2 linked regions of the Oryctolagus cuniculus genome follow. The protein of the gene in region 2 interacts with the protein of the main gene of each other region in a biochemical or structural test. Links are inferred from orthologs where the notes say so. Each region holds a gene or a part of one and is shown on either strand. Other genes may lie near its edges. The genes, in order: NUP43 and NUP85.

Region 1 (11,181 bases), on a different chromosome or scaffold from region 2:
ATCAGTCTTTATAAAACTAAGTATTTTCAATATCAACGATGGTAAATACTCCAAAATATATTTTCTGAAAGAAAGACATCCTGGGAAATTTCAGGTAAGAACAGTAATACAATACATTAAAGTGGGCAAAGATCTAGTCTTGGCTTACCAAAAAATCAGGCCAAAATGAAGAGACTGACTGATTACCAGTCCCTGCCACAGCCAGGAGTCCACTCTGATAATCTACAGGTTGAAAATGACTGACTCACCATTCATGTATAGACTGTTTCACATACGTATACTGCAATAGCAGTACTTTAATCACATGAAGAAATTTTATAAATATATTTACAACATATTGAGGTTATGTGCAATTACTTGGGAACCCAAGTCACACACACTGCCGCAATTACATAAATGTCTACTTCCAAACACCTGACCAGAAAGCAAACACTGGCAATGGGTGACAAAATTTTGACATCTAAACAATCTTTTTTGCTAAACATTAAAAACACAACTTTCAAGTATTGTTTTTAAAAGTCCGATGACAAATAAGTACTGACCATGTGCCAAACAGTGTTTCTCTCATTTATCTTTGCATTCCTAGCACAGATCAAAGCATCCACCCTATCTTCAAAACATTCATGGAAAATACCTATCGTAAATAACCTATGGGCGGGTTTCAAACAATTTTTGCACCAAAATAAACTCATCTTTTAATTCCGTTTTCCATGAACTTTTTGAAGTTCTCTAGTACACTGGACAATGAGTAGGTATTTGTGGTGGGGAAAAAAATGAATACTAAACTATTTTAGATGATTCAAAGATCACTTTTTAAAAAATGTTCCCAGCCTCCAAGGTGGTTCCAGATCCGGTCGAGCAGTAAGACAACCACACGAAAAAAAACTTAAAATAAAACACAGGACAATTAAAAATACTACGTGGCAGGATAAGATTATTTGCAAAGTTAGCTGCAAAGAAAGAGCTATCAATTCTTCCTAGAGTGAGATCCTTCTGGCCTCCCGAACAGACGCCGACACTATATTTCAATTTTAAAAAAAGAAAGTGACACAGCACTCCATCCCACCCTGAAATCATCATCAGAGGAAGGAATACAAAAACCAAAAGAGAATGGTGTGTGTGTGTGTGTGTGTATGTATGTGTGTGTGTATAAACTTCCATAGCAGGTTTTTAAAGCCTACGGTAGGGCTGAAAAAAGAGCATTCCATCCGTAAACCCTCTGGCTGGATCTGGGAGCTCTAAAGGCTCCGAAAACACAAGTCTCCCAGGACCAGCGTCCCCTGCACTCTGTCCCTCCGCCCCCCACGGAGCTTTCCACTGGACAGCAGCCCGCATTCGCACCCGCAGGACTCTCGCCTTCCCCCCCTCCGCTCGCCTGTATCAGACAGCGGCATCTCCCTCCAGAGGAAAACACGCAGGGCGGGGGAGGCGACCGCAGAGAAAGCTCGCAGGGAAGCCCCTCAAGGAGGCCGGGGGGCCAGCGTGGGGTCCCCCTCAGTTCCGACTCAGGTGCCCGGCCCGCATCTCCCCCACCCCGGAGTCACGCCCCTCGCCTGCCCGGCTGCGCTCGGATCGCCGACTCCAGACACAGCCCAGTCATCACCGGTGCGGCGCCCCCCGGCTCGCAGGAGCGCGGGGAGACCACCACCCCCGCCCCCGCCCCCGCCCCAGCAGCAGCAGCAGCAGCAGCAGCAGCGGGCCCCCACGCGCGCTCTCGCTGCCCGTCCGGCTACGGACCGCTCCAGGGGGAGGCGATCGCCGGCGCGTGCAGCCCGCGACTGCCGTTGCAACTCTGCCCAAGCCCTCCGACAGGCGCGGAGGCGGACGGGTGGCCGACCGAACGCTGCGGCCGGCCCGGGGGACCCGGTCCGGGCCTAGCCTGCCCCAACTGCCCCACACCGGGCGGGGGTGGCACTTACTGCGGAGATTGTGGATTAGCTCCGAGTGGCTGGCGCCGCCGGATTTCCAGGCCATCGCTAAGCACACTCGGAGCAGGTACAGAACCACCTTCAGCGCGGCGACGGTCCCCAACAGTTTCGCTAAGAGTGAGACCACCTCCCACACGGTCACCGCCCCGCTCGCGTCCCCGCTGTCGCCGCCGCTGCTACTGCCGTCGCCGCCGCTGCCGCTGCCGCCACTGCGCGCTCCCGGCATCCCCCGCGGCACGCATGCGCCCTGCGACGCCGCGCGGCCCTCGGGTGCGGCCGGGTGGGGCCGCAGGCGGGGGAGGCCTAGTGCCCCCGCCGCCGGTGCCAGTGGCCGCTGCGGCTGCCCTGGGGCCGCAGGGCGGCAGGGCTGAGTCAGCGCCGCCGCAGCCCCTGCGTGCCCCTTTCTGAGGCCTCGGGCTGTCCGCCGCCCTTGCCCTGCAGCCCTGGGGGTGGGGGCGGTCTCCTGCGCGGTCCGGGCGCCGGGCGCGGCGGCGGGATGACGGGGCCGATCTGTGCCGTGGCCGTTGGTGGCTCCGCAGTCGGCGCTGTGTCACCTGAGGCGAGCGGCGGGGCTGCTCCTATAGCGGTCCAGATTGTTAGACGGTGGGCTCCCTCCGTCCCGCCTCACCCAACCCCGTCGACTAATATTTGGGTCGATTAGAGTCAAGGCTGGAGTGACGGCGCCGAAATGATGCTCTTAATCGAGCCCCAAGGGCGAGGACCCTCTGCGACCCGAGAACACCAGCCTCCGGCTTTATGACAGGCGCACCCCTGTTTGGTTATGCAGAAACAGTGGGAGCCAGGGAGAAAAAACTGAGACTGGGGCGTGCGGTGAGGCGGGGATGCTTCGCTCCTTTAGAGCAAACGTAAAAAGCTGCAACCGGTGGAAAACGCCCCAGTGTCCTATGGTGAATGTGTGGTTCTCCCAACGCAAGTGTGCGTTGTCAGTAAACGGAGCCTCACGGATTCCGCTGTGAGGCTGGGCTCGAACCGTGCCCAAGCCCGGGATGGGGAAACTGCCTGTGGCGTCCAAGCTGCAGACTGCGAGCTAGCACGGAGTCTGACAGAATGCAGCCGTCGTTTAGGTCATTCGGTAAACGTTTAGGAAAGAAACAAAGCTGTGTCACCGCGTCTAAGCTCTTAGATCAGCAGCAGTTTTCAAGTTCTCGCGCTTACCAGGTTCTGTCGAATGTGACACTGTTCAAAAATACGCATGTCCTCTTGTCGGGGTTCTGTGGTCGTAAACGAGCCCACACGCAATTGTTCTTTCCGTGGATATATGATAGGAATGAAATTGTCGACTTGGGGCTCATCCGCTTCCCGGGCGCCCGTTCCGTCTCTCCGCAGACGGCTGGCGATCTTCGGCTGCAGAGCAGACCCTGGTAACTCTCACCGAAGCCGGCCGCGGCGGTTACGTTTCGTCCACTCCTTGCACAAACTGTCCCGGTGAAGTGGGACCCCCGACCTCGTAAACCGGCAGCCCGGCACGGCCCCCTTTAAAGAGACAACATATAGTTATGAATACAGCGGTGTAAGAGAGTTGCCAAGGTGGAATAAATCATACCTCTTGGAATCAGTAGGATTTCCACGCTAAGGAGCTTTGGAAAAGGAAACCAGAAACGGGGCAAAATGCGTGCTCTTAGTGATGCAGATACGAAACGTTCTGTTTTATTCTCCTCCTCATCCTCCGCTGAGGCCGTCAGGGAAAGGGTGAAGGGTGGACAGGATTCTGAGAGGAGGAGTGGAAAGGTATTTTAGCCATAACCAAAGGCACTAAAGGAACCCGCAGCACTCATGCCCCAGGCTGTGGACGTTAGGTATCACAAAATCCGTTCTTAATTATGTAATGGAAGTGGAGCCGGTGTTGTGGCACAGTGGTTTTAGCCGCCGATTTGCGTCCTGGCTGTTCCCAGCTTTGACCTGACCCAGCCCTGGCCTAAGCCACCATTTGGGGAGTGAGCCAGCGGATGGAAGAGCTCCCTCTGTGTGTGTGTCTCTCCCTCTCTCTGCAACTCTGCCTTTGAAATAAATCTTTTCTTAAAAAATTACGTATGTAAGTGAGTTGACCAAGGTTACAGTTAGGTAACCTTAGGTAACTGGCAGCAGAACTAAAACTGGAGTCAAAGGTTTAGGATAATAAATTCGTACTTTATTGGAAATAGTGCCATGAAGATTGAAGGATTTTGAGTTGTTTGCTATGCATAGTGACAAGCAGCTGATGTGCCTGCAAGGTGGTTTCCCACGCAGTGATTTTGTTCTTAAGTTATTGCACAAGCACGTTGTCTCCATGTTCCTCCTCTGCATTTGCATGTCGGGTGCAGATCCCACTGCACATAGGCCGGGGCACTCTTGGTTTTGCTCAAAGCCACCTCGCTGATCATGGGCGCCTCAGACCCCTCCTGGTCCGGGCCCGGCAGTGCCTGCACCGCCTTCCGCTGGGAATTGGCCCTTCGCGGCCGCCGTCGCCCGGCGAGCTCCCATCCAATCAGAGCTCCGCGGGAAGGGGCGGAACCCGGAGGCGCGCGGCGCGCGGCTGGCTGTGCCTGCTGCTGTTGCTTTCAGCATGGAGGAGCTGTATGCCAAGTTTGTGTCTGAGAAAATCAGCAAAACCCGCTGGCGGCCGGTGCCTCCGGGGAGCCTGCAGACCGCCGAGACCTTTGCCACGGGCTCTTGGGACAATGAGGTACCCTGGCTCCGGGGCGGGACCCCGGGGCTCCGTCCTCTCCCACGCCCAGGTGCCCTGGAGCGCGCGACTTTCCATCCTCCCCGGCCCCGGGTCCGGGGGCTCGGCTGCAGCCAGCGTGGGTGTGCCCGAGCCCCCGTCTTCTTGTTTCACATTCTGCCCATGCCGTGTGAGATGCTTTGGAGCCCAGGTTGCCTTAAGGCGATACGCATTGGGTTTACTTTCCAGAGTTGACGGTTCTGTCATCTCAAGATGAAGCCGTTTGCTTTACAGGAGAATCACGTTTCACTGTGGTCTATCGGAGATTTCGGAAACCCGGACTCTGATGGAAGCCTGGAAGGAGACCATCGACTGTTGTGCGATATCAAACACCATGGTGACGTCATGGACTTACAGGTAAACGCGTCCAGTGCCCAGAGGCTCGCTTCTAAAGAAAGCCAGAGCAGTGCATTTAGAGTGCAGAGACCTGAGAGCTCTCCTGGCCTCACCCCTAGTTTACAGGAAAGCGAGTTCTCCATAGGTTAGGATTTACCCAACGTAGACTGATCACTTAGTGGCACAACCTCCCAGCTGCAAGCGATTTTTTTATTTTATTATTATTATTTTTTTTTTGACAGGCAAAGTTAGTGAGAGAGACAGGTCTTCCTTCCGTTGGTTCACCCCTCAAATGGCCACCTCGGACGGCGCTGCACCGATCCGAAGCCAGGAGCCAGGTGCCTCCTCCTGGTCTCCCATGCGGGTGCAGGGCCCAAGCACTTGGGCCATCCTCCACTGCCTTTCCGGGCCACAGCAGAGAGCTGGACTGCAAGAGGAGCAACCGGGACAGAATCCGGCGCCCCAGCCGGGACTAGAACCCGGTGTGCCGGCGCCGCAGGCGGAGGATTAGCCTATTGAGCTGCGGTGCCGGCCTGCAAGTGATATTTTTGGAGTTTTACATAAGACCGTTTAATTCTAATTACATGTCTGTGAGTCAGTATTGTTATTTCTATTTTGCCCGTGAGAATGCTAAGAATATTATCTTTCGAGCACACACTGCTAAGGATCTCAAAGTTCATGGAAAATGCATATTATAGATAAACTATGCATGGGCTTTTAAAAATTTTGCACTAGAATGCATTATCTTTTAATTTCATTTTCCATAAACTTCTTGAATTATCCTCATTTGTGACAAATACTGTGCAGGGTAGGTCTTTTAAATTTTTTGATTTCTCATAACCCACCCTGAGTAGGATTAGTACTCCCTGTTTAAAAATACAGATTTTTAAAAATTTACTTATTTGAGAGGTAGAGTTAGAGACAGAGAGAAAGTTCTCGATCTGCTGGTTCACTCCCCAAATGGCTGCAATGGCCATAACTGGGCTGATCTGAAGCCAGGAGCTTCTTCCCAGTCTCCCATGCGGGTGCAGGGGTCCAAGGACTTGGGCCATCCTCTACTGCTTTCTCAGACCATAGCAGAGGGCCGGGTCAGAAGAGGAGCAGCCAGGATGGAAACCAGGGTGCGTGTGAGATGTTGGCCCTGCAGGCGGAAGCTTAGCCTATTGTACCACAGCAGTGGCCTCAGGGAAATTTCTTTTTTAATGTATTTGTTAGAGCTCCCATCAACTGGCTCATTCACCAAAGCCTGCGTCAATCAGGAGCCAAGAGCCAGGAACTCAGTCCAGGTCTCCCATGTGGGTAGCATGGACCCAATTACTTGAGTCATTACCATTGCTTTGCAGGACCTGCGTTAACAGGAAGCTGAAATAAGGAGCCAGAACTGGGTGTTGAACACAGGCATTCTGAACTTGGGCATCTCAACCCAACATCATAGCAAGCCAAATGCCCACCACATTCCAAGGCTTAGAGAATTTAACTTGGCCAACCATTTATTCCTCATGAAAATACCTTTATTTGTATAGCAATGTTAACTTTTAGATCTAACAAATGTTATTTGGGTAGCACTTACAGGCTTTTTACCTTTTACAGTTACGTAATTTGCTATAAATTCAGTTAAACAACGGGTTTCCTCCCTACTAGTTTTTCTGAATCTATAATAAGCAGGAATTTTTCTGTTTAGTTTTTTGACCAGGAAAGAATTGTAGCTGCTTCATCAACAGGATGTGTAACAATTTTCCTTCACCATCCAAATAACCAGGTAAAGAACTTTGGTTTGAAAAGTGAATTTGTATTTTAGTTATTTTTAGAAAGGTGTAAGGAAAACCGTATTTAATAGTTTTAAAGCCTTACGATATGAAGGGGGGGAAAATATCATTACTTTTTGCGAATGTAATTCTAGAACCATGTTTTTGTGAGTTGTTTGTTTGTTTGTTTGTTTGTTTTTGAAAGAGAATTACAGAGAAAGGAGGGGAAAGACAGAAACAGAAAGGTCTTCCTTCCACTGGTTCATTTCTCAGTGGCTGCATCAGCCAGGGGTGGGCCAGACCAAAGCCAGAAGTCAGGAGTTTCTTCCAGGTCTCCTGCTTGGGTGCAGGGGCTCAAGCACTTGGGCCATCCTCTACTGCTTTCCCAGGCCATTAGCAGGGAGCTAAATGGGAAGTGAAGCAGCCAGGACTTGAACCATTGCCCATATGAGATGCCGGCATTGTAGGTGGTGGCTTTACCTGCTACGCCACAGCGCCAGCCCTGTGAGCTGTTATTGAAATTGGGTAAACCTGCAATGCATTCTGTTAGTTTGGATGAAGCAATATGGTAATTTGGCAGGTAATTTTCCATAATTCTTTAAGTTCCTATTCTAGTCTTTTGAAGAAAGAGCCTCTTTTAGCTCAGATACTGTAGCAGAGAACAGGATCGGCTGTCTTGCCTCTGTGGATAGAACTCAGGTCTGCAATTGAAGCCAGCATCTGCTGTATGAAGACATGACTTATTTTTCAGTACTTTCTTGTGTGCTAAAGCCCATCAGGCCCAGCCTGCAGAACCTACTGGTGCAGGCAGTTCCTTAAAACAGCCCCACCAGTAATAACGCAGTTTGAAGTTGCTGGAGGAGAGTGTTCATTTAGGTTTTAAGGTTAAATGCCACCTTACTTACAGGCATGCCTAATAAACATAAGACCCAGATCTCATTAAGTATTTTTCTTAATGGAGTCACTTATGAGAGACTGTAGCGATTTATTTATTAGATGTACTCATTCCCATAAAAATTTAGTTGTTTTTGAACATTCAACTACCTCTTACCTAAAAACAATTATGTTAGTTTGAGATAAATGTGGAACATTGTTAGACCACATTCGTTTTCAGCCTAGTTCAGTGTGCACAGAGCTTTGGCAGTAATTGAGTATCAATACTGTAAAGGAGAAAGGAGAGTTTTGTTTTGTTTTGTTTTTGTTTTGTTTTTTAGATTTGTTTATCTATTTGAGAGGCAGAGTTACAGACAGAGGAAGAGACAGAGAAAGAGGTCTTCCATCTGCTGGTTCACTCCCCAAATGGCTGCGATGGCTAGAGCTGGGCCAGTCCAAAGCCAGGAGCTTCTTCCAGGTCTCCCACATGGGTTCAGGAGCCCAAACACTTGGGCTATCTTCTGCTGCGTTCCCAGGCCATTACCAGGTAGCTGGATCAGAAGTGTAGTAGCCAGGACTCAAACCAGCATCCATATGGGGTGCCAGCACAGCAGGCTGATACTTAACCTACTATGCCATAGCACCATCCCCAAGAGTTATTCTTTTAAAAAGAAGGTGTGAGGTAGGATTTAAAAATACTCTTGTTGGGGGAAAGCACTAGTTCCCTAGAGCTTTCTTTGATTAATATAGTGTGCTCATTTCTGATGCCTAGACTCTATCAGTCAGCCAGCAGTGGACAACAGCTCACTACCACACGGGTCCTGGCAGCCCTTCCTACTGCAGTGCACCTTGCACAGGGGTTGTGTGCGACAACCCAGAAATTGTCACAGTTGGAGAAGACGGTCGCATAAATCTCTTCAGAGCGGATCATAAGGAAGCTGTGAGAACTATAGGTAAGAAAAATCATTACGTGTCTTTCCTCTGTACATAGCAAGTATGCATGTGCCATATGCTAAATAAATAAGGCTAAGTGAGGGTTAAAAATGTACAAGGCCTTTGTCAAAACTGTGTTGATGAGGCTAGTAAGAGACTGACCACAGAGAAGAAGGAGGGTTGACAATTTCGTCTAGGTTTTAGACCATAAGTAATACTAAAAGATGACATACCAGGCAAAAGGAGTAGTATGGAAGCAGGATACAGTTAAACAGCTATTGACAAAAATGTAGCCGGACCTGACTTTAGGTATTTGTCTAAGAGAGACAAATGATGAATCCAGAAAGGTAAATGGGACCAGGTTGTAAAGATTCTCTAATGCTAAACCACTGGGGTTACGTTTTCAGGTGGAAAACTGGAGAGCCATCGAAAGTGTTTAAGCAAGGGAGTGATAACACTCCATGTCATGCTTTTGAAGAGTAGTTCTAAGGTGGTGGTCTTCAGCCATGCCTCACACAAACTCGCCTGGGGTATTTCTTTTTTTTTTTTTTTTTTTTTTTTTTTTTTTTTTTTTTTTGACAGGCAGAGTGGACAGTGAGAGAGAGAGACAGAGAGAAAGGTCTTCCTTTGCCGTTGGTTCACCCTCCAATGGCCGCCGCGGCCGGCGCGCTGCGGCCGGCGCACCGCGCTGATCCGATGGCAGGAGCCAGGAGCCAGGTGCTTTTCCTGGTCTCCCATGGGGTGCAGGGCCCAAGCACCTGGGCCATCCTCCACTGCACTCCCTAGCCACAGCAGAGGGCTGGCCTGGAAGAGGGGCAACCGGGACAGAATCCGGCGCCCCGACCGGGACTAGAACCCGGTGTGCCGGCGCCGCTAGGCGGAGGATTAGCCTAGTGAGCCGCGGCGCCGGCCTCGCCTGGGGTATTTCTAACCATCACGCTAGATCTCTTGGGTCATAATCCCTAGGGACTGAGCCCAGGCATCGGGTGTTACTTATGGATTTTACTTCTGAAATACATGACTTGTGTGATTGTTAAGAACCGCTGCCTGATGGCAATGAAGAGGAGTGGTACAAAACTAACACCTGTAAGTGTATGTTAAGTTACGCAGTGTAAATTCTAAACGCCCTAGGAGCTCAAAGAAAAGGATCATTGGGACAATCAGGAAGGATCTTCTGGAGGAGAGAGCTGATGAGAGTAAAGATGAATAGATCTGAGATAGAAAAATACAAATAATAAAATCTGTAGTTGGCACTGAGTTTGGGCTCAATTTAAAATAAAAGTTCAGGGTCAAGGACTTGAAGAGAAAAAATTGGATATAAAAGAGCTTCAACAGCTATCTCAGAAATACAGGGTAATAGTCTTAAGAGCAGATAAAGGAAGAAATCTGAAAACTGAGTCCTCCACTCAGAAAACAGTTCAGATGTCCTGTGAGTTTTGTTTTTCTGTCCAAAAAGAGTCTAAACCTATACATTATGAGTTTTTCTGTAGAGATTATGCTGTGATTTATTGGAAATGTTATTTGTAATATTTCCATCAGTAGAAGGCATGTGATTTAACATTTTCTTAGAAAAAAGAGCTCCATTAACACACACTACCATTTTTTAAATTTGTAGACAATGCAGACAGCAGTACACTCCATGCTGTCACCTTCCTTCGCACTCCTGAGATTCTCACGGTAAATTCAATTGGACAATTAAAAATATGGGATTTCCGACAACAAGGAAATGAGCCCTCTCAAATATTATCACTGTAAGTTTTGATGTGTAATGCAGTGTTAATTTATTCAATTGTTTACAGCAATTGGCTTTAAACCATATTGTATTTTAATTGCATTTTAAGAGAATAACCCCTGGGCCCGGCACTGTGGTGCAGTAGGTTAATCCTCTTCCTGTGGTGCCAGCATCCCCTATGAACGCCAGTTCTGGTCCTGGCTGCTGCTCTTCCGATCTGGCTCTCTGCTGTGGTCTGGGAAGGCAGTGGAAGATGGTCCAAGTGCTTTGGCCCCTGGGAGGGCCCGCCTGGGAGACCAGGAAGAAGCTCCTGGCTCCTGGCTTCGGATCAGCGCAGCCCCAGATGTTGTGACCATTTTGGGAGTAAACCAGCAGAGAGAAGACCTTTCTCTGTCTCTCCTTCTCACCATCTATAACTCTACCTCTCAAATAACTAAATAAAATCTTTAAAAAAATTTTTTTAAATAAAGAGAATAATCTTTGATTAAATTTGATAGAGCAAGTTAATGTGGTGGGCTTCATTTAGTAAATTCTTTCGATTCAGAGCCTTTATCTCTTTGAAGTTCATATTATTTCATGGAGAACTTACTTCTGCTTATCAAATGATTTTTTTTTTTTTTTGGTTAGTAATTGGAGTGAAAATACAGTCCATGAGTTTTTTCCAGAGCAGAAATCCTGCTTTCTGGATGTTCAACTCTTTTTTTTCTCTTAAGAAAATAGAATGTGTCAAATTAAGAAACAGCATTTATATAAGCTGAGCATTAAATAAGATGGGAGTAAAGAACATTCAGCATATTTGATATATGACATATTTTTTAATGTTTAGCTTTTTTGAGACTGTTTCACACACCAAATGGCCACAACAACCAGGGCTGGGCTAGGCCAAAGTCAGGAGCCCAAAACTCCATCATG
Region 2 (11,236 bases):
ACATCTTTTTTTTTTTTAATATTTATTTATTTACTTGAGAGGCAGAGTTGCAGACAGAGAGAGGAAGAGAAAGGGCTTCCATCCAGTGTTTCACTCCCCAAATGGCAATAATGGCCGGAGCCCTGGGCCAATCCGAAGCCAGGAGCTTCTTCCAGGTCTCCCATGTGGGTACAAAGGCCTAAGCACTTGGACCATATCTACTGCTTTCCCAGGCCATCAGCAGGGAGCTGGATCAGAAATGGAGCAGCTGGCAGTAGAACCGGCAACCATATGGGATGCCAGTGCTGCAGGTGGCGGCTTTACCCACTATGCCACACTGCCAGCCCTATCTTTCATCTTTGTAGTCTCAGCAAATAATAGAGATTTGCGAGCTGGAGGTCAGTCAATATTCATGGACTTGTGGAGGCAGTGCTAACTTGGTCATACTTTTCGTGAGAATACCCAAAACTGCCTTCCAGCTAGGGTTCCGAATGCCCGTCCGTCACACAGCCTCTGTGTGGAGATGGCGATGGCAGGTCCTCCTAGCCCGTTATGCTCCAACTCCGCTCTGTCCATGGCCGTAAACACTGGAACGAGGTCCAGTCACTTGAGGCTGTTTTGTAAAATGAACACAAACAAAATAAGCTAAGCTACATTTTGCAGCATTTTGCCCAATACAGATGTTATCCTTCCTCCCCACGCTTCTGCTGGGATTGGTTACTGTCACTCCAGCGTGGGGGAGACAGAGTTGGAAGGATGGTTCTCAAAGGGTGGTTCCTTGGATAAAGAGACTTTACTTGGGAAATCTTTCTCTTTTTTTTAAAGAATTTTATTTATTTTGGGGTCTGCATTGTGGTATAGTGGGTAAAACAGCCATCTGAGACATCACATCCCATATGGGCCCTGGTTCATGGCCTGGGAAAGGTAGCAGAGGATGGCCCAAGTGTTTGGGCCCTTGCCACCCACATGGGAGATCTGGAAGAAACTCCTGGCTCCTGGCTTCCACCTGGTCCAGCTCTGGCTGTTGGGTCCATCTGGAGAGTGAACCAGCAGATGGAGGACCTCTCTCTCTCTCTCTCCCCCTCTCTATAACTCTGCCTTTCAGATATTTATTTATTTTATTTTTCAGGGATTTAGGCCATTTTCCACTGCTTTCCAGGTGCATTAGCAGGGAACTGGATCAGAAGTGGAGCAACCAGGACTCAAACTGGCAGAGGGTTGACCTACTGTGCTTCAACGGGAGCCACCTGGTTCGGGAAATCTTTAGAAATGCAAATATGCGGCCGGCGCCGCGGCTCACTAGGCTAATCCTCCACCTAGCGGCGCCGGCACACCGGGTTCTAGTCCTGGTCGGGGCGCCGGATTCTGTCCCGGTTGCCCCTCTTCCAGGCCAGCCCTCTGCTGTGGCCAGGGAGTGCAGTGGAGGATGGCCCAGGTGCTTGGGCCCTGCACCCCATGGGAGACCAGGAAAAGCACCTGGCTCCTGGCTCCTGCCATCGGATCAGCGCGGTGCGCCGGCCGCAGCGCGCCGGCCGCGGCGGCCATTGGAGGGTGAACCAACGGCAAAGGAAGACCTTTCTCTCTGTCTCTCTCTCTCACTGTCCACTCTGCCTGTAAAAAAAAAAAAAAAAAAAAAAAAATGCAAATATGCAGGCCCTGCCCCAGACCTACTGATTTAGAAGCTGTTTTTAAGGATTTATTTGTTTGACTCTCTCTGACTCTCCCTTCTCTGTCACTCTACCTTTCAAATCAATAAATCTTTTTTAAAAAGTTGGAAATTTTAGGGGACCGGCTCTGTGGCATAGCAGGTGAAGCCAACGTCTGCAGTGCTGGCATCCCACATGGGCAAAGGTTGAGTACCGGCTGCTGCACTTCTGATCCAGCTCTCTGCTGTGGCTTGGGAAAGCAGTAGAAGATATCCTTGGGCCCCTGCGCCCACGTGAGAGACCTGGAGGAGGCTCCTGGCTCCTGGCTTCGGATTGGTGCAGCTCCAGCTGATGTGGCCAACTGGGGAGTGAACCAGCAGATGGAAGACCTCTCTCTCTCTGCCTCTCCTCTCTCTGTGTAACTCTGACTTTCAAACAGAATAATAATTAAAAAAAAAAAAGTTAGACATTTTAAAACCTCTTGAAGGATTTTTCCATGTGCTTTTCATTCTTCATGTTTCTTTTTAAATAGCTAACAATATCTTTAAAATATTTATTTAGCTATGACTCTATGACTGGGCTCTCAATACAGATGATTTTGCCCCTAGTGGAAGTTAGCAATGTCTGAAGATATTTTTGGTTGTCACCACTGTTTTTTTTTTTTTTTTTAAGATTTATTTATTTGAAAGTCAGAGTTACACAGAGAAGGAGAGGCAGAGAGAGAGAGAGAGAGAGAGAGAAAGAAAGAGAGAGAGGTGTTTTCCATCCGCTGGTTCACTCCCCAAATGGCCGCAACTGCCAGAGCTATGCCGAGCTGAAGCCAGGAGCTAGGAGCTTCTTCCAGGTCTCCCACGTGGGTGCAGGGGCCCAAGGACTTGGGCCATCTTCTACTGCTTTTCCCAGGCCATGAACCGGGGCCCACAGCTGGGACTCAAACTGGCACCCATATGGGATGCTGGCACTGCATAGTGGCTTTACCCACTATGTCACAGTGCCGGCTCTAATTTTTTAACTTTTAAAAACGTGTTTGTGGGGCCAGAGCTGTGGCGCAGCAGGTGGGTTAACATCCTGGCTTGAGGCGTCAGCATCCCATATGGACAAAGGTTCAAGACCCTGTGGCTCCACTTCCAATCCAGCTCTCTGCTATGGCCTGGGAAAGCAGTGGAAGATGGCCCAAGTCCTTGGGCCTCTGCACCTGCATGGAAGACCCGGAAGAAGCTCCTGGCTCCTGGCTTCGGCTCGGCACAGCTCTAGCAGTTGCAGCCAATTGGGAAGTGAACCAGCAGATGGAAGACCTCTCTCTCTCTCTGCCTCTCCTCTCTCTAACACTGACTTTCAAATAAAATAAATAAATCTTTTTTTAAAAAAAGTATTTGTAGGCCGGCGCCGCGGCTCACTAGGCTAATCCTCCGCCTAGCGGCGCCGGCACACCGGGTTCTAGTCCCGGGCGGGGCGCCGCATTCTGTCCCAGTTGCCCCTCTTCCAGGCCAGCTCTCTGCTGTGGCCAGGAAGTGCAGTGGAGGATGGCCCAGGTGCTTGGGCCCTGCACCCCATGGGAGACCAGGAAAAGCACCTGGCTCCTGGCTCCTGCCATCGGATCAGCGCGGTGCGCCGGCCGCGGCGGCCATTGGAGGGTGAACCAACGGCAAAGGAAGACCTTTCTCTCTGTCTCTCTCTCTCACTGTCCACTCTGCCTGTCAAAAAAAAAAAAAAAAAAAAAAAAAAAAGTATTTGTTTGCTAGGCAGAGAGGAAGGAGCCAGAAAGATGGAGAAAGAGAGCTCCCACCCAACAAACAGTTCACAGCTCCAGTGTCCATGATGTCTCTGGTTTGGGCCTGTGCTGACGGGGATGCCAGGACCCAGGAACTGGGTAGCCCCATCCAAGTCCCCGTGTGGACGCCAGGATCCAAGCACTTGAGCCATTACTGCTGCCCCTCATGGTCTGGGCCAGCAAGAGGCGAGTCAGGAACCGAGGGGTGCAGAACCAGCTACTCCGACACGGGACGCAGGCGTCCTGACTGCCAGGGAAAACGCCTGCCCTACTTTGAAAATGTTATCTGCTACTCAGTGTTTAGTGTCTTTTTGGAAACAGTAGGCAGCTTTGAACCCCTTAGGTCAGGGGTGGGGAACACTGGCCTGTGGGCCGTGTAAAGCCCCTAAGTCACTTGGTCTGGGCCTGCCGAGGGCACCGGGCGTAGGACTTGAAGTTCAATAGGTGTGTAGCAGGCACTTTTGAAAAAAAAAAGTATTTATTTATTTGAATGCAGAGACCCAGAGAGGAGGGAGAGAGAGAGAATGCATCTTCCATCTGTTGGTTCACTCCCCAAACGGCAGCAATGGGCAGGGGCTGGGTCACGCTGAAGCGGGGAGCCAGGAGCTCCAGCTGGGTCCCCGACGTGGGTGCAGGGGCCCAAGGACTTCCGCTGCTTTTAGCAGGGAGCTGGATGGGAAGTGGAGCAGCCGGGACTCGAACCCGCGCTCCCCGACAAGGACACACAGCTGGGCGCCAGGACAGACTCCCAGTTCCGGCAGGGACAGGCGCGTTCGGCCCAGGGGACGCCCTGCTACAGCCTTTCGGGCCAGATTCCTCCCGCGCTGAGCTGCTTCCTAAGACTTCCAAGTCGCGAGTTTGAGTTCGCCCAGGTGGCCGAGGGGGAGCGGAGCCCGGCGCCACCGTCCCTCCATGTGTCACTCCGAAAACACCTGCTGCAGGTCACTGGAGCCCCTCTCTCCTGCGCCAGGGGCGTCACGGACGCGCGCGCCGCTTCGCACAGAACCAGCATCAACAGGCGTCCACTCCTCGCGGCCGGTTTAGACGCCATCAATTAGGTCCGCGCGCCTCTCGCGCTCCGGAGAGGCAATGGCGGCGACAGCTTCCTAACGTACGCCCTTTGGATCGCCGGGGCTCGGAGACGCTGTTGTGCGGACGCCACGCAGCGCAGACGGGGGAGCCAGGGCCGCCACCGTGGGCACTGACCCCGGCCACCGCCCGGCGACACCCACCCGAGTCCGCGCGTGCGCAGGCGCACTGCCGTCCGCCCCGCGGTCTCTCCCGCCGTCTCCGGGGGCCTTCTCTCTGCCCGGCGCGGGGCTGTCCGCGGCGCTGCCTGACCGGGCGAGATCACGCCTGTGACTATAGGCTGCCCTCGCGCTGTCCTTCCCGGACGCTCTGCGGAGGCAGTGAAGGAGGGACGCATGGCGAGGGCGGCACAGGGGTGGGTCGTGGCTGAGAGGCGAGGCCTCGGCGGCGCCGCGGGGTTGGGCGGCAGGCGCAGCCGGGGGCGCCCGGGCGGGGTCCTCTCTCGCGGCAGGCTCCTGAGCGGGAGGCCCGAGCGGAGGAGCGTGTCGGCGGCGCGGCGCTATGGAGGAGCTGGATGGCGAGCCGACAGTCACTGTAAGGGAGCCCGGGACTGGCCTGCTTGCGCTCGCCGCCCCGGGACGGCGTCCGCTGGGTCATCTCAAGCTTGTCAGCGCGGCTCCCTGCCGGCCGCGCGGTGCCCAGCCCCTTCCTCGGCTCCGTTAGGAACTAGGGTGCAGCCGTGCTGTCGCCGTCCCACCCCTCTTTTTGTCTCCCTGACCCTACTGCCTTCGCATTTCCTCGTGGGCACGAGACTGGGCTCGGGCTGAGCAGAGGAGCTGGGGCTTCCCTGTTTGTCCTGAGTTTCTGCCTGCTAGTCAGTGCTAGCCCGAAGTTTAGTGAACGTATTTATTCTCTCGGGGACACTGTTTTTAACATCGCTGTGCGTTCAGTTCCGCTTGGACTCTCGAGTGTGTCAGGTGCGGATGATCGGCGGTAAAGCAGTTCCTGGGCTCTGCACAGGAGAAGCCCGCCGGTCTCGCGGCCCGCGATCTTTTCCCTTCCTTGACAAGAGTCAGCCCGTGACGGGCTCGCAGAGTTCCGCGTGTCTGGGTACCCTTCAGTTCCACTCATTTTCACGAAAGGTTCTGGACCTATCCGGAGCGGAGCGACAGAGAGAGAGAGAGGTGTTCCGTGGCTGCAGCAGCCGGGTTCGGGCCAGGCGCGAGCCCGGGGCCAGAGCTCCATGCTGCTGTCCCGGAAGGGTAGCAGGGGCCCGAGCGTGCGGGCTGCGCTGGGAGGAGCCCAGGTTGGAACCCGGTTCTCAGATGTGGGCTGCGGCCTCCCAGGTGGCGGTGAAACCCGCTGTGGCCCTGCAGAGCACCCTGATGAGGGCCCTGCGTCTCGTCTGGAGTCTGTGCGTGTGGTCTTGGAAGCAGGCAGACTCCTACCGTGCTTGCTTCGGGTCTTACGCGTCTTGCTCTACTGTGTGGTTAATTTTCGAGTGCGTGTGGAACACTTGCCCTTTGCCGGCCTGCTCATCCGTCAAGATTTGGCTAATCCGACTCTCTCCCGTGTGCCTGTACCTTTGGCTTCTGTCTGCCTGCTGTTTATTGCTCTTTTTTTGGTTTGTTTGAAGATTTATTGATTCACTTGAAAGTCAGGGTTACACAGAGAGAGAAGGAGAGGCAGAGAGAGAGAGAGAGGTCTTCCATCCGCTGGTTCACTCCCCAGTGGCTGCAACAGCTGGAGCTGCGCTGGTCTGAAGCCAGGAGCCAGGAGCTTCCTCCAGGTCTCCCACGTGGGTGCAGGGGCCCAAGGACTTGGGCCATCTTCCACTGCTCTCCCAGGGGACAGCAGGGAGCTGGGTCGGACGTGGAGCATCCGGGACTCGAACTGGCGCCCATGTGGGATGCTGGCACTGCAGGCAGCGGCTTTACCTGCTAGGCCACAGCGCCGCCCCCTATTGCTCTTCTTGTAAACTGCCCGCATTTGGAGGGGAGAGGCTTTTTCACGTTGTGTTCTTAGAGCCCAGCATTGCTTAGTTGTTCAGGGATTGCGTTAGGTCTTCCTGAGGCCCGAACTCGCTTGTCTTGAGACTAGGCCGTCGCTAGCCGAGTTCTGTGCGGCAGGGTCTCTGTAGGCAGTGCGTGAAGATCCTAAAGCCCCTGCCCTTGTGAGCGCCGTCTGTTTACAGGGCAAGTGATGGCCATGTGAGAGGATCACTCAGGGACTGAGAAGTGTCGTTCAGGGAGAGTTGCTGGTAGCCTCAGTTGGGCTGTAGACGTGGTGATCAGACTCGGGCTCCTGTCAGGGGCGGCCAGGACTTACCGCTGGGTCAGACACAGGTGGGAAGGCCGGAGCCGGAGCTGGGGTCACTCCTGCCGGCTGGAGACTGGGTGAGGTTTGGAGGTAAGGGTGAGGTTTGGAGGTAAGGGTGAGCCTCAGGGTTTCCCTCCTGGCTGCTGATCTGGGTTAGCTTGTAAGTCGATTTGTGAAGCCGAGGCGCAAAGGGCTTGGTCTGTTTCGGGGATAATTGTCTGGAGGCGCCAGCATAGCTGTGCGCAGGAGTAACGATTGGAAGTTCCTGTTCTTCAGAATCAGTTCAATTACTTAAAGATTTTAGGGGCTTGGGGCCAGTGCTGTGGCACAGTGGGTTAAGCCTCTGTCTGCAAGGCCAGCATCCCATTTGGGCACCAGTTCAAATCCTGGCTGCTCCACTTCTGATCCAGCTCCCTGCTGATGCACCTGGGAAAGCAGCAGAAGGTGGCTCAAGCATCTGGGCCCGTGCACCCACGCGGGAAAAAGCTCTTGGCTTTGGCTGTTGCAGCCATTTGGAGAGTGAACTAGTGGATGGATGATCTCTCTGTCTCTGTCTCTCCCTCTCTATCTGTAACTCTGACTTTTCTTTTCCTCTCCTCTCCTTTTTTTCTTTTTAAGAGTTACACAGAGAAAGGAGAGGCAGAGAGAGAGAGGGAGTTCTTCCATCCGATGGTTCACTCCCCAAATGGCCACAGCACCTGGAGCTGAGCCGATCCGAAGCCAGGAGCTTCTTCCAGGTCTCCCACTTGGGTGCAGGGGCCCAAGGACTTGGGCCATCTTCCACTGCTTTCCCAGGCCATGGTAGAGAGCTGGATCGGAAGTGGAGCAGCCAGGACTCGAACCAGTGCCCATGTGGGATGCCGGCGCTTCAGGGCATTAACCTGCTGCATCACAGCGCCAGCCCCAACTCTGACTTTCAAATAAATATTTTTAAAAAAATTTGGGGGCTGGCATTGTGGCACAGCCTGTGACACCAGTGTCTCATGAGTGCCAGTGCAAGTCCTGGCTACTCTGCTTTCCATCCATCCTCTGCTGATGTGCCTGGGGAAGCAGCAGATGATGGCTGTGCCACCCACATTGGGAGACCCTAATGGAGTTTCAGGCTCTTGGCTTGACCTGGCCCAGCCCTGGCCATTGTGGCCATTTGGAGAGTGAACCAGGGCCTGCTGCCTGCAGTGGTGGCATCCCATGTAGGCACCAGTTCAAGTCCTGGCTGCTCCACTTCCCATCCAGCTCTCTGCTATGGCCTGGGAAAGCAGTAGAAGATGGCCCAAGTCCTTGGGCCCCTGCACCTGCGTGGAGACCCGGAAGAAACTCCTAGCTTGAGATTGGTGCAGCTCCAGCCGTTGGGGCATTCTGGAGAGTGAAGCAGCAGATGGAAAACTCTCTCTCTCTCTCTCTCTCTCTCTCTCTCTCTCCTTTCTCTCTCTGTGTATTCTTTTTTTTTTTTTTTTTGACAGAGTGGACAGTGAGAGAGAGAGACAGAGAGAAAGGTCTTCCTTTTTTTTTTTTGACAGGCAGAGTGGACAGTGAGAGAGAGAGACAGAGAGAAAGGTCTTCCTTTGCCGTTGGTTCACCCTCCAATGGCCGCTGCGGCCGGCGCACTGCACTGATCTGAAGCTAGGAGCCAGGTGCTTCTCCTGGTCTCCCATGGGGTGCAGGGCCCAAGCACGTGGGCCATCCTCCACTGCACTCCCTGGCCACAGCAGAGGGCTGGCCTGGAAGAGGGGCAACTGGGACAGAATCCAGCGCCCCGACCGGGACTAGAACCTGGTGTGCTGGCGCCGGAGGCAGAGGATTAGCCTATTGAGCTACAGCGCCGGCCTGTACTCTGACTTTCTAATAAGTAAGTCTTTAAAAAAAAAAAAAAAAAAAAAAAGAGTGAGCCAGCAGATTATGATCTGTCTTTGCTTCTCTCTTTGTAACTTTTTTTAAAAATATTTATTTATTTTATTTGAAAGTCAGTGTTACACAATGAGAGAAGGAGAGGCAGAGAGAGAGAGATGTGTCTTCCATCCGCTGGTTCACTCCCCATATGGCTGCCACGGCTGGAGCTACGCCAATCCGAAGCCAGGAGCCAGGAGCTGCCTCTGGGTCTCCCACGCGGTGCAGGGGCCCAAGGTCTTGGGCGTCTTCCACTGCCTTCCCAGGCCACAGCAGAGAGTGGAGCAGCCAGGCCTTGAACCGGTGCCTATGTGGGATGCCAGCACTGCAGGCGGCGGCACAGTGCCGGCCCCTGTAGCTCTTTTAAATGAGCAAGTCTGAAATATTTTTACCTTCCCTTGTTCTAAACTGTAGACCATTACAGTGTATGCACTGGTTAGGGTGCAACCTTTCTGCTCGTTGACACTTGAGAGATGGCGGCCTGGGTGAGGCGCCCACCAGGCTGCCTCGCATGTCCAGGTGCTGCTAGTGACGGAACAGAACGGGCCCATCTCAGATTAGCACTTCCTAACTCTCATGTCTGCTCATATCTGTGATTGTACTTGTAAGTCTTTGTAAATTTTTCTCTAATTTTTGTAGCAGCTTTATTTGTAATTGCCCGAAGTTGGAAGCAACAAAGATGTCTTTCAGTAAAGAGTGTCTGGTATAACCCGACAGTGGAATACCATTCCGTGCCAAAAGAAATGAACTATACGACGTGAGAAGACTTGGAGGAAGCGTAAATGCTTATTCCTAAGTGGGCCGGCATGTGGCTCTGCAGGTTAAGCTGTGCCTGCAAAGCGTGCATCCCAGCCCTGTCTGTTGTGGCCGACTGGGGGAGTGAACCAGTGGAAGGAAGATCTCTCTCTGTCTCTCCTCTTCTCTCTGTAACTTTGCCTTTTAAATAAATAAAAAATAAATCTTAAAAAAAAAAAAAAAGTCAGAACATCACACTGCTGAGTGAAAGGAGCCGATCTGAAAAGGCATCTGTGGTATGAGTCTGACATTCCGGGAGAGGAGGGCTGTGGAGACAGATAAAAGATCTTTGCTGGGACTTCAAAGTCATTTAGAAAATATATTTATTTGAAAGGCAGAATTCCAGAGAGGGAGAGACTCATCTTCCATCTGCTGACTCACTCCCCAGAGCCAAGAGCCAGGAACTCCAGGCAGGTCTCCCATGTGGGTGTCAGGGGCTCAAGTACCTGGGCCATCGTCTGCCACCTCCCAGGTACGTTAGCATGAAGCTGGATCGGAAGGAGTTGGGGTGGGGGCCGGCGATGTGGCCTAGCTTGTAAGACTGCCCCTGTGAGCCAGCATCGTATGTGGGCGCTGGTTCAGGTCCCGGCTGCTCCACTTCTGATCCAGCTCCCTGCTAATGTGCCTGGGAAGGCAGCAGACGATAATCTTAAGTTCTTGGGCCCCTGCGCTCATGTAGGAGACCCTGAAGAAGCTCCTGGCTTCCATCTGGCCCAGTCCTAGCCCTTGAGACCATCTAGGGAGTGAACCAGCAGATAAAAGATCTCTCTCTCTGGAAGTCTGCCTTTCAAATAAAAAATAAACCTTAAAAAAAAATATATGAGGTGGGACTTGATCCTAGGCACTCCTTAGGCTTCCTAAGAAGCAGCTTGATCCCATGTCCACCAACAAACACCAGCCCCTGCTTATACGTCATTTGAAAAGCAAAGGGGCCGGTGCTGTGGTGCAGCGGGTTAACGCCCTGGCCTGAAGCGCCAGCATCCCCTATGGGTGCCGATTCTAGTCCCGGCTGCTGCACTTCTGATCCAGCTCTCTGCTGTGGCCTGGGAGTGCAGTGGAAGATGGCCCAAGTCCTTGGGCCCTGCACCTGTGTGGGAGACCTGGAAGAGGCTCCTGGCTCCTAGCTTCAGGTCGGCTTAGCTCTGGCCATTGTGGCCATTGTAGCCTCTCTCTGTCTCTACCTCTCTCTGTAACTCTGCCTTTCAAATAAATAAAAATAAATTTTGAAAAAAGTAAAGCCTTCAGGGTGAGTAACAATTTTCTCATCCTGTTTTTTGATAGTTCGTTCCAGGTGTGAATTCTAAGAAGAAACAAATGTGTTTTGACTGGGGTCCGGGGGAGTTGCTGGTATGTGAAACCTCCTTCAACAATAAAGGTAGGCATTTGTTCTGTTTCTGGGTCCAGATGGTTTACCTTGGCATACTTGTTCATTTTCTATCCCCCTCCTTTTAACAAAAGATTATTTATTTGTTATTTGAAAGGCAGAGTTAGAGAGAGGAGAGGTCTTCCATCCGCGGGTTCACTCACCAGATGCCCACAACAGCCGGAGCCGGGCCAATCCGAAGCCAGGAGCTTCCTTCAGATCTGCTACCCGGGTGCAGGGGCCCAGGCACTTGGCCATTTTCCACTGCTTTCCCAGGCAATAGCAGAGAGCTAGATCAGAAGAGGAGCAGCCAGGACATGAACTGGTACCCATGTGGGATGCCAGCACTGCACACAGAGGCTTAAGCCTACTGTGCCATAGCGCTGGCCCCAATAAATAAATCTTAAAGCCGCTTGGAATGCCCACATTCACTAACAGAGTGTCTAGGTT

What was found.
Region 1: the proteins of NUP85 (region 2) and NUP43 form a complex in vitro, tested with the Homo sapiens proteins (2 studies listed by BioGRID). The link is inferred for Oryctolagus cuniculus from reciprocal best matches to the Homo sapiens genes NUP85 and NUP43.

Annotation. Positions count from the first base shown.
Region 1 is NC_091436.1:18,265,090-18,276,270, forward strand, and holds the start of NUP43 (nucleoporin Nup43), read left to right. Parts: upstream 1-4,420; 5' UTR 4,421-4,491; coding exon 4,492-4,611; intron 4,612-4,884; coding exon 4,885-5,007; intron 5,008-6,667; coding exon 6,668-6,745; intron 6,746-8,376; coding exon 8,377-8,557; intron 8,558-10,152; coding exon 10,153-10,288; intron 10,289-11,181. Other genes in the region: PCMT1 (protein-L-isoaspartate(D-aspartate) O-methyltransferase), read right to left, coding at 1,920-2,154. UniProt on the Homo sapiens protein: Component of the Nup107-160 subcomplex of the nuclear pore complex (NPC). The Nup107-160 subcomplex is required for the assembly of a functional NPC.
Region 2 is NC_091448.1:5,327,800-5,339,035, reverse strand, and holds the start of NUP85 (nuclear pore complex protein Nup85), read left to right. Parts: upstream 1-4,861; 5' UTR 4,862-4,986; coding exon 4,987-5,019; exon of another isoform or gene 5,020-5,402; intron 5,403-10,704; coding exon 10,705-10,798; intron 10,799-11,236. UniProt on the Homo sapiens protein: Essential component of the nuclear pore complex (NPC) that seems to be required for NPC assembly and maintenance. As part of the NPC Nup107-160 subcomplex plays a role in RNA export and in tethering NUP96/Nup98 and NUP153 to the nucleus.